Linked DNA regions of Caenorhabditis elegans. The protein of the gene in region 1 purifies or fractionates together with the protein of each later gene. This does not show direct contact. Each region holds a gene or a part of one and is shown on either strand. Other genes may lie near its edges. The genes, in order: F56A8.9 and cht-3.

What was found.
Region 2: the proteins of F56A8.9 (region 1) and cht-3 fractionate together in Caenorhabditis elegans (co-fractionation; one large-scale study listed by BioGRID). This does not show direct contact.

Annotation. Positions count from the first base shown.
Region 1 is NC_003281.10:13,253,117-13,257,229, forward strand, and holds F56A8.9 (CAB39 protein), read left to right. Parts: upstream 1-1,558; 5' UTR 1,559-1,571; coding exon 1,572-1,731; intron 1,732-1,786; coding exon 1,787-1,884; intron 1,885-1,931; coding exon 1,932-2,051; intron 2,052-2,538; coding exon 2,539-2,744; intron 2,745-3,064; coding exon 3,065-3,182; 3' UTR 3,183-3,343; downstream 3,344-4,113. Other genes in the region: anoh-1 (Anoctamin), read left to right, coding at 44-135, 184-264, 317-499; F56A8.3 (Disease resistance R13L4/SHOC-2-like LRR domain-containing protein), read left to right, coding at 3,788-3,981, 4,039-4,113.
Region 2 is NC_003282.8:7,001,828-7,009,659, reverse strand, and holds cht-3 (Chitinase-like protein C25A8.4), read right to left. Parts: upstream 6,038-7,832; 5' UTR 6,036-6,037; coding exon 5,928-6,035; intron 5,810-5,927; coding exon 5,532-5,809; intron 5,467-5,531; coding exon 5,256-5,466; intron 5,210-5,255; coding exon 5,115-5,209; intron 4,737-5,114; coding exon 4,469-4,736; intron 4,423-4,468; coding exon 4,066-4,422; intron 4,016-4,065; coding exon 3,717-4,015; intron 3,671-3,716; coding exon 3,293-3,670; intron 3,006-3,292; coding exon 2,734-3,005; intron 2,655-2,733; coding exon 2,527-2,654; intron 2,485-2,526; coding exon 2,394-2,484; intron 2,068-2,393; coding exon 1,964-2,067; intron 1,919-1,963; coding exon 1,830-1,918; intron 1,780-1,829; coding exon 1,386-1,779; intron 902-1,385; exon of another isoform or gene 881-901; intron 561-880; coding exon 429-560; 3' UTR 392-428; downstream 1-391. UniProt on the Caenorhabditis elegans protein: Putative chitinase.

The DNA.
Region 1 (4,113 bases):
GTTACCGTAGTTCAAAATTCCAAAAACTTATGATTAACATCAGTTGCCTTCACTTCTGGATTCTGCTCTACATTTTTGGCCGATGGAGCTTATTGCACTGTTCAAAATCGACTTATCATTGTTATCGTTTTCCAGGTAAAAATCCATATTTCTCTTCCAAAACTTGTAGTAAAATAATTTCAGAATCTCGTATTTGGTCTCAAGTATCTATTATCCAGTGTTATTCCATCAATTCCTGCTTCAATAAAATTGGCGTTAAGGAAGGTATAATTCATTACATATTAATGGTAGATTACTCAAAAATTAATATTTCTAGAAACGCTACGTGGTTGCTCATATCGTTGAAAAAGGAGATGTTCCACACAGAACTCGAATAAAAAAACGAACGAGAATTGCAAAACTTGCATGGATCGCTTCAAATCAGAAAATGATAAAGAGTAATAGAAAGAAGGAGAAGTCGAATAAGAAACAGTTATTGGCTGAAGTTGAAGAAATTTGATTTTTGTTTGTTTTTTTTTTGGATTCAAAATCTGTTCATTTCTGTTTCTACATTGTTTTCTGTATCATAAACTACGGTGTTCTAAACAATTTTCAAATGATTTTAAAAGTTCCAAATTTTCGGCAATTTTTTTGCCGACGAATTCGGCAAATCGGCAAAATGCCGGTTTGCCGATTTGCCGGAAATTTTCAATTCCGGCAATATGCCGGTTCGCTCAAATAATTTGTTCACTTGTTTAAAGTTTCAAACTAATTTTGTTATTCTTAACAATTTTGAAAACGAAAAAGAATCGTAAAATAATCGTGATTCTCCTTTTTTCTCAAATTCCCTCCAAAACCAGAAGCCCCGCAGACATTTGAACCAATCAGCGTCTTCAATCTTTGCACACTCTATCTGATTGGTTCAAGAGAAGGCCGAGAAAATCGCTGATTGGTCTTGCAGTTCTCGTGTTGGAGGGAATTCAAATATGAGATTAAAGCGCGCAATCCGTTTGTCTATAGTTCATTTTAGTCTGTGAAGTCTGGAATCTGGAGAGATAGTGAGTCGGGGTCACTGTAGGAGTACTGTAGGATTACTGTAGTTTCTTTGAAAAAAAAATTTCAGAAAATTTTTGAAAATTTTGCAAAATGTATTCTTTTGGAAAAAGTTAGTTCTCTTAATATACGATTACCATTAGCTAGGATAAATCTTTGTACAGTTAACTCTCTTATTTGTACTGTATATTCTGTTTACACTGCCCCCTGTAGAGACGCAGAGATGGAAAGTGGTGATATGTATTGGGAAATGGAGAGTTGGAGTTTTCCTTTGCAGTTTTCTTATTGGAATTGTATTGAAATCTGAATAATACAGGTTATATTTGAATAAACATAAACGTTTATTTTATTTGAATTAATCTAATTTATTTTTGTAAATTTCAGTTTTACTGTCGCAGAATATATTATTCTAGTTCATTTTATTATAATAACTAAAATTATTAACGAATTCAAATTCTCGTTGTTTGAATGAAGAAGTTCTTATCCGTTTTCCTGCTAACCTAAATTCTCTCCATTTTTTTTGAAGGTCACAACCCAGAATGCGTCGTTCCTTCCAACTCGTCCTACTCCTCACGACAGTCGTCTCCTCGGTTCTCTCAAAAATCGATCATGTCAAGGAGAAAACAGGCGAAACGCATTCGGATCCAGCTAAATTGAAAACGAAAGAAGCGCCCGAGCATATTGATCACAAGAAATTATGTTAGTTTTTTGGTTTTTTTTTAATTCAATTTAAAAAAACGTTAGATTATTTCAGTCACCGAAAGCTTCAAACAACGGAGAATCGAGCATACGACCGCAATTGAGTCGATTAAAAAAATTGGAAAAGACAAGCGGAGATTGTTTTTGGAAGATGTAAGAGTATTATTAAATGTGACCAAATTTATCTCAATGTGCTTCAGGTTTTGAAAAATGTGCAAAACCTGCTGAAAGAGTCGCGAGAAGCTTTGGAACGGACCGCCCATCGATCGGATTCGCCGTTCCCACACGGTAGTGAGCTGCTCAAGGATGCACTTTCCAAGGTGAGTTTTTGAAACTTATATTACCCAGACGTGAAATTTGCCAATTTTGGCGCCAAAAGTACGGTAGCCGGTCTCGAAACGACCAATTTTTGCCAAAAATTGTGTGCTCCTTTAAAAGGAGCTTTTATCAATTTTTAACAAACCGTGAGAAAAACAAGGAAAAATCGATGAAAATTTTCTTTGCTACAAAATTTTGAGATTACAGCACTCTTTAAAGGCGCACACTTGTTTAGAATTTAACAAAAAATTTCGTGTCGAGACCTGCCACCGTACTTTTGCCTAATGATTTTTGAATTGAAATTTTTTAGTTGGAATGATGTTGGAAATATTTTTGAAGTTGAAAAAAATGGTTTTGATTTTTTTTTTTTTTTGAAAAAATACTACTTCCTAACGAGACCCAAGTATTGGGGTGGAGTTTTTCGTTGAAGCGCGATTGAACTTCAATTTGAAAAGACACATTTTCTCACAAATATGATACATTTTACAGCTCCACGAGAACATCGCCTTCTTCACAGACCTCTCACTAGCGTTCTCGAAATTTTTCGAAACGAAAATCCAAAAGGATCGGAAATTGAAGACTTTGATCGTCTGGGCCTACAATTATTCTATCAAAACTGGCATTTTTGATGAGGAAACTGAAAAGAAAGTGCAACTAATGGCTCAACAACACGAGTTTATTGAGAAAAATGAAAAGTATGAGAGTTCTTGGCTGGACCCGGTCTCGACACGACTTATAAGAGAAAAGGTGTGCGCCTTTAAAGAGTACTGTAATCTCAAACTTTTTTATCTGGGATTTTTTTTTAATCGATTTTCATAGTGTTTTCTTTCAATTCGTTGGAAATATAGTGTTTTAATATTAAATTTGAATTTGTTAATCAAAAAATTATGAAAATTCAGCTGAAACGAAAGTTAGGAACTACAGTACTCTTTAAAGGCGTACTACTCTTCGCAATTGAAACAAATTTGTCGTGTTGAGACCGTGATTTGGCTCAAAAAATGTGTTTTTTTTAAAGATTTTTCAATTCCTACGATAAGGATCGCGTTAAAGAAGATTTAGAAGCTGAGGAAATGAAAAGAAAAGAGAAAAAATCGAACAAAGCCGAGAAGAAGCAACCGAAAGGAGAGTTATAATTTTTTTTTCTTCAATTTTTGTGTTTTTTTTTCCTGTTTATAACCGAACTCGTCAAATTTGGCCATAATATTTTGATTTTATTTGTCATATATTTAGTTATTTAGGTTGAGTACAATTCGATTTTCAAGGTGCTATTTAATAATAATTATAAAGATGTTTTTTTTTTTCAATTCAGTTTTTAAAATATGGTTTTCAACCCATAGTTTATATCAACTATCAAAATATTCCATTATTTTTACTTACAAAACTGCAATTTGGAAAATTAATTTGGGCCCTATTGGGTTTATTTGTTTCAAAACCAATTCATAAATTTGAACTTCCCTCCAAAATGCCACAACGACGCTCCGAAATTCCGCATACGCATGTTGTTTATCGTAAATTCACACAAATTAGTTTGCTGATTTTTCTTCCTATTTTCTTTTTTTTCCCCAAGTTCAGAGGTTATACATTTTATTCAAAGCTTTCTCCAGATTTATTTTAATATTTTATCGTCTCTTCTTTCACATGCACACTTTTACGTTACCATCCCAACAATGCCGCGTGTCGAAAAATTTTTTTTCGCAATTTTTTAAATTTCTAGGGAATTTCTCTGTGTGAAACTACAATGTCATCGCATAAATATAGTCTGACGGAGCTCAAAAACTTGCAAGAAGATGATGAGTTGGATTTATCGGCAAGCGGAATTCAAGAATTCCCCAATGCAATCGTCCAACTGCCACGGTTGACGAAATTGGATCTGAGCTCAAATGCAATCACTTTCTTGCCGGAATCTTTCTGCAAGATGACTAAGCTTATTCGGTAAGAGTTTTAAGCTGAAAATTTTTGTATATTTTAATTTAATTTTTCCCTTTTAAGGTTAGACTTCGGAAGTTGCCAGCTTCATCATCTCCCTGATGGAATCGGGCTCTTGACAAGCTTGCAGCACTTGAA
Region 2 (7,832 bases), on another chromosome or scaffold:
TCCCTCTACCATTCACTTCTAATGAAAGAAAAATCTCTTTATATTATATTTTTTGATTTTGTTAAAGCCTTTAACAAAGTTTCACACAGTCTCTTAGGAAAACTTGCCAAGTTCGGTCTTGACTAGCTTGTTTCTGGTTCAAGGAATTCCTCGATCACAGAATATTCACCGTCAAAATCAACAAATTTGTTAATTTGTCCAAGTTAAATGAACTTCCTCTAGCACCAACTAAGTCTACATTATTATCACTGGGAACTTTGAACAAAAACCATTCATATTTTGTAAATGGTGTCCCAATTCCCCCTTCCCCGCTTTTTCCCTTTTTTTTCGTAAAAAAAAATTTGGTCGTGTGGGAGAGTTGAACTCATCCATTATCGATATCAAACGAAATAAAATAATTATTTATCAAAATTGTGAAGTTTCAGAAATTAACGACACTTATGGGAACTATAAACAGATTTCAGAATTGGGAATGATCCACGCCCACAGATTCCAGTATAGTCATCTCCATTTACATTCAATGCAATACCGCCGAGCTGTTCACGTTGGATGTAACCAATCTGAAAATTTGAATACTTGAATAAAAAATCCTAGAAATTTGATAGAATTTCCAGAATTTCTAGAAAAATTATTATATGTACTGTATTTGTAGAGATTTCAGCTATAATATAATGTGGCTTTTGTTAAACTTTTAATAATACAACATGACAGAATATCATAATGGAACCTTTCAAAAGATTTTAGACTTACGATTAGCAAATTTTTCCGTCAAATTGTTGGAAAATTATCAGATTTTCAAAAACAATCACATTTTGAGAAATTTTGAAAAAAATTACTGTTTCAAAAAGTTTACAAAAAATTTTTGAAAATTTTTGATTATTGTACATCCATTATTCCAAATTTTGGAAGTTTATCTTATTAAATTTTGTCGGTAAAGGCACATTAAAAGCCGATAGGTAACCAAAAATCATCAAAATTGGTTACCTATCGGCTTCAAATGTACTGTAATAAACGAAATTAAATGATATAGACTACCAAAATATGCAATAAAGAACAATAATTCAAAAAAAGGGCAACTTCGGACCGCGATATGGAAAAGTGGGTAAAAACGAGATTTTACCTAATAGCAGTGTAACTTTTTCAAATTTTGAACTGCCACAAAAAATTTTTGATATTATTTTTTGAGAAGTTTCATTACGAAATTTGTTCTTTTGAGCCCATGTTGAGTCTATTCAAAATCGTCCGAACCGTTAGTCCCCCTTTAAACAAAACAGTAATTTATTCTACTTTCGTGAAAATGTGAAACTTTATTTTTTTAAGTGGGGTCTCGCCAGATCTCAAAATCAGTCATCACGGGAGCTATAAATGCCAAAAAAGAAACTTACTTTGTATCTAAAATCTTCAATCATTGGCATGTTGATAGTTCCATTTTCATGTTTGGTCATTCCTGTCAATGTTTCATAATCATGTTCGTAGACAGCTCTATTCCCAGCAGTTACACAATTAACTCCTTGTGTCATTTTCTTCTTCTCCCCCACTTTCTTTCCAGTCTGCCAACCAAATGGCGAGAGTTCCAAAACTAGCTTATCCGGTTTCAGTCCCACATTCTTCCAAATATTCACAAATTTCTCAGTTGACGGGAACTCAGGCTTTGTGTGATTGAAGAAGAATGGAAGATCAACGGAATGTTTATCAGTCATTCTTAATGCAATGTGAGACAGACGATTCAATAGAGATACACTGTAGTACGTTGACGGCTTTTGTGTGTAATGGGAAAATCTGAAATAATGGGATATATAGCTTTTTAAAAACCTCTATGAAAAGGTTGCCTTGCTGAAAGTGTCCTGTTACACCCATTGGAAGCCTTGCCGCTTTCAAACTTCTGTGCCAATTTTTTGACGAATGTGTTGAAGTAAATCTGAATAGATTCATAGGTAATTTATTCTTAAACCTAATAAATTACATGGTTTCCTCTGCGAATCACTTTTTCACAATCCAATTGTACTCCAGAAAATTTGTACTTTTCCATAATATTCATCACGTTGCCAATTGCAAATGTCATGTTGTCTACAATATGGAAAAATTGGTTATGGGCTTAATTTCGAAGTTAACAAAAATCAAATGCTTTTCAATAAAAATCATGTACGAGTTAACTTTTGGATTTTCAGACACCCAACCGCATCAAGATTTTTCAGATTTTGTTTCATTTTCAAAAACTTCAGAATCCTCGGCCACCTTAAAATCTCTCAAAGTCGTAATAGGTTTGCAAAAAATAAAAAAAATCGAATATTGGAAGTATGCACTGAAAAAGCTTTCAGGAATATGTTTAAGAGCTTTTCTTCCAGGTAACATGATCTTAATTTGTAATTTACAAATTGTAAAATGAAACTCACCACCAAGAATTGAATTCAAATATTTCTCAGAATCACCGCATGATAGTGAAAGCACCATTCCACATTTAACCATTTTTGACCTCAATGATGTCTAAAACTCATTATAGACTACAAGGCAGGTGCGAAAACTTACCAAATTCTTAACAACTTGTTCTTGTTGAACATCATTGAAATTCACATTTCCACCTAAAGTGAGTGTTGCCTGCTCAACGACAACTTCCGTGCAACGCTCGTATGGGACAATGTCCGTTTTGAAAACAGCTGAAAAATATTAAATTTTTCAAAAATAAAATTTTCTGTTTCAAATTTCACACATCAGAAAATCCAAAAAAAAGCTTACGAGTGCTCCTCTTCAATTCAAAATTGCAGCTAACCACGAAATCGTGTTGTTCACACTTTTTGAAGTCATGCTGTTTCAGGCAAGTCTGACAAACTTGAGCACGAGAAAGAGCATTTAAAATGGGGAATGCAGTACGGTTATCACAAACTGCACTCGGATCGTCCTGGTGCATGTTGTGAAGAGCAAGTCCTCCAACACCTTCCATTGATGCCCATACTGCTTTGATGTGAGCACTACGAGTATTCTCATATGCTACCATTTGATCGTATCGTCTGAAGTTATTGCATTTTGTGATAATTCACATTTTGGTCCTGGTAGTAACTTGAACCACTGGAAATTGACTTGCTAAATCATTTTCCGTATTTATACTTAAATATAAATTTAAAAATATTATTTTGTTAAATTGAGATAGAAATACGAAACTAATTTCCAGTTTTTCTCATGTCATTAAATTGGCTTAAACTTTTTCGCTTTGTACACTGGGGAAGTTTATTTGAAATAATTTAGAATAAAATTCTCAAAGGGCTCAGTTCACCATAAATCCCAAAATATTACTTACCTCAAATATGGTACTTCAGCTCCATCAACCCAATGAGTGACACCAGTTCCAGACTTCAGGCTTTCACAGATCTCCTGCTGACTATGAATATCTCCTTTTTTCGATCTCAACATTGACACAAAAGCTGATTGTCCAAATGGAGTTGCAGCTGAGCTTCTCACATCAGCAAGTGATTGCATGGATAAAGTGGATGCACTCAGAGACAATACAAGTTTTGAAGGGAGTACACGTTTTTCGACCCAGTGAGAGAGCAACGATTCCCAACTCATTTTTTGATTAGTCATTGATGAAGTGGCACGAAGAGGTGAAGGATGTCCTGTGAATGGAAGAGAATCCGAGTGAAGACGATGAGAGTGAAGGACAATTAGTGATGCAGTTCTAAAATTTTTGAATTAAAATAAATATTATATTAAAGTAAACCAACTTGTTCAAATGCTCATAATCATAAAAGTCCGAATAAGCGCTCTGTTGTGAAGTTGCCACAACGATCTCCACCATCTTTGCTGTGTCCGCTGCGACGATATCATTGATAAATGATTTCAAATTCTTCTTATCAAAATCGCTGACCATTGGTTGAGAAGTCCACGAAATCTCAAGCCCATCTGCGTTTGTTGAATTGATTGCTTTAACAAGACCTTCAGCAAGTTCTTTTCTATGAAAATCGTTTCCAAGGAGGAATTGCCATATTGTTGAGGCTTGTTTTGATCCGACAGAAAGAATAAGCTGAAATAGTTTTCCTTTGAAATCTGAAAACGGTTTCAAAGAGTTCTTACCCTCGGTGCCACTTCAACTATTTTGCTTCTCCAATCATCAATTTTCTTCACCAGATCTTCGGCTTTATCCTCTTCAATCATTTTGTCGGAGAGATCAAGGGCGAAGTATGGAACAACAATATGACTACAGTAGTCAGATTTCAGATTATCAATTGGGAATGTTTCCTCAACCTCCTCCGGATCCAAATAGCAGAGTCTTGTACATTTGGCTGGATTCGCAGGAATAGTATTACGAATTAGTTCCATGACAAGACGATGAGCTGGCAACGGATCTGTACCACAGTCTCCACGTGGATCATCGAAGAGGGCGTGGCTAATACCAATTCCAGCAAACTTTTGACCCAATATCCATTTCATCTGGAATTCAATAGGTTTCATGAGCTAAAGCATAAGTTGCAACGACCTTTTCTCCCATAGCCTTAATTGTTGGTAGATTAACACTCATCCACGTCTGACGGTACACGGTAATTTCATTCATAGTCTGCCAATCATAAATGACAGCTCCTCTAGCTCTACAAGCATCTTGATAAGAAACTCGTTTTCCATTATTCTCAGCATATTGTCCATGAGAGATTTTTAATGGATCTTGAGTCTCTTTGATTTCAAATTTCCATCCTCCAGCAGTCAGTCCAACTACGATACGTGAAGGGAGAATTCCTTCTTTTGACAACCTTAAATTTTTATTGTTACGACAATAGGTGTTTTATACACAAAACGAGTAAAAACCTTCGTTATTAAAAATGTTTTAGAATTTTAAACATTTTTTGAAAATTTTTTGCAGAATTTTGTAACTTTCTTTCAACATTTTGAAAGCATCGGATGGTAAAAAAAATAAATGAAAAGATAATAATAACATAAGAAACAGTAAAATTAAAAAAAAAACATTTTCCAAAATTATGAATTGCAAAAAATGAGGAAGTGGCTATGTTTGACAATAACTTAAACACAAATCAAAGTGAAAAAGTTTTACTGTGATATTTGGAATTTTTCAAAAGACAGACTTTGAAAATTCCGTATTGGATCTAATTCACCTATATATTTTGACTTACTCTTCGACAGTTCCTTGAATTGTTTCCTCAAACGGAATTGATCCATTATAGAAAAGTGGATTTATGTGTGTGACTCTGGCAAGTTCCTCGTTTGACTAAAAATAACTCCAGTCAACCATTTTTTAAACTGAAAATACTTACTGGCAATTCTCCCATATCCAAATAGATATACTCAACGAGATCATTGATTTCTTGAAGTCGTCTTAATGCATCAAATGCAAAAACTCTTCTTCCTGTGACTCCAAATGTTAACGACATCTTTTTGTCTTTTGAAATCGTTTCAAGAAAACTCGTTGAGGCTCGATACTCAAGGTGAATGCCGTTGAAAGTTACAAATAAACCATCGAATCTTCTGGAAAATAAATTTTAGTTTTGATAAAGCTGTGATGACCAATTTCCCAAAATTCTCAAACTCACTTGCTCTTCACATGAGATCGGAGCCCGTTTGCAACCTTCACCGATGTAGCCGCGTCTTCAAACGGTTTTGTTCTAACAACTCCCATCAAGAGTTTGGCATTTGGATGATATTTTCTCAATCTCATGAAAGTTCGAATATTGTCAATATCATATCCAGACTCAACATCGGATACACTGTACTGTGGATATCCAGTGTCTCGATCAATTGGAATACTTCCATACACTAAATGGGTGCACGTTGTGATGTTTTGAAGAAGATTTGGGGAGAGACGAGTTTTCTGCAATTTGGAGCCTTTTACAATTATCAAAACTATTAAACCAATATTTAGTAAAAAATATTTTTTAATTGAAACTCTGATTGACATTGCTTGTTTGATAACATTTATGGCTGCTTACCGGTGGAGGATTGACAAAACAATAATGAACAGGAGCATCTTCATCACTTATCTCACAGTATATGCCTACTACAAGTATTGACAGCCAAATGAGGGTTTTTATACCCATCTCTAAAAAGAAGAAAGATTATAAAAACACAATAAGAAGGTGAAAAACTCTGAGGAAAAATGACAGAAGCATGCTGATTCTATCTCTTTTATATACGATTTTTCGTGCCCAGATTCAACCAGAAAAAAGAGCTGACCTGCAGATAAAAAAAGCGATTCGGGAATGATAAAGTGGGCGGAAGATCCAAAAGCCTCGCATACCACATGTTATTGGTTTTTAGGTGATTGATTTGAAATTTCGTCGCTGAAACCGAGATTTGACTGGTTGTTGGCTCTCTGGGAAACAATTGCATGATGTAAGAAAATGTTTTATTTTTAAATAGAGATACGGATGCTTGTAGAAAGTTTTGTAGTTTTTTTAAATTTAAAGTTTGGTATCCATAAACTTCACGTTAAATCAGAATTAGAGAATAAATTCCAAATCAATTGACATATTTCCAACTTCTCAAGGTTTTTCGAGCCTGCAGTTGAAGAAAAACTGTCTTTGTTTTGAAATTTTAAAACATTTTAGCCTTCAAAGGTTAGAAATAATTGCTCCATTTTGGGTGCAACGGTAAATTTGATCACCTCACACCCCTGACAGGTACATTTCCACAAGATATCAAGGAATTTTACAGTTACGAAATTGTCTTTCACTTTTTTGTCAAAACCATTTCTAACTCTCCCTCGGTTTTCAATAAGATCTCAATGTTTCATAACCACCCACTTTTTCCCTTAACCTTCCGTTTTCAATTTTGATCTCCCTGGGGACCAATATTTCAGTATTCCGTATGTTGACAAACCCTTTTCCCTTCTTTTCTCCTGACAAGAAACACTTTTGTCCTCGTCCTTCTTGTAGTTGTCGCCGGCGTTTTTACTTTTTCTCGGGTGGGGATAGTGTCCCTAGACAGAAAATAATTCGTCATTTTTGCCGCCTCACAAGTTAGTTTTCTAACTGTCACACAAATCCTACAATATTTCATTTATTTGGGATATTGTTTTGAATAAGGCGACAAAGCAAAAAGATCCATTGGGAGTTTAACCTGATTTATAAAAGACAGTCGCCAAAAATTATTCGAAAGTTTTGATCTCAAGATGGGTAGATAAATTTTTGAAGTCCTACTGGGAGGCACCGCGGTGGTTTTGAAAATTTCAGAAGTTGTATCGACAAAAGCGGCACAGAGCATTTTTTAAAATAAAACTTTCCGTGATATTATCATAATTCTCGGAAATCTGAATGAGTGTTTTCATAAATATGAGCACTTTTTCGTTTCAGCAGAACTAAATTTTCATGTATTTCTCAATATCTCATATGATTTCATTTCTTTTCTTAATGTGACATGACATTACTGTCATCACCCAAACGAGTTATTTATGACGAGTTTGCAACATCTGCAGTTCTCACATAAATGAGTAAGGAATAGAGGGAAGAAACGGCTAATATGGGTTTTGAGGTTAAACATGTTGCCTTACAATCAATGATTTTTCTTCCGTTAATTTCAAGTATCAATTCACAATATGAATGTTTGTTTCAATATTGTTTTTTCTTGCACTTTTTTGCTCAACTTTGCTTTGTCAAATTTCACTTATTTTTGCCTGTTTCAACAAATCTTCAATTACGAATAAAAATACAAAGTTGTTTCGTTTTTAAAAAAGTTTTTTCGTTTCCTATTTCAACATTCTATGATACTGCTACAATTAGAAAAAACCTAGAAAAATTCCTAGTCACGAATAAGTAATGGCATAAGGGGATTTGCTCCCAAAGACTGGATTCTCTGCTGTCAGTCGGAAGTAACAAGGCTCCATGAACCAGAGCCAG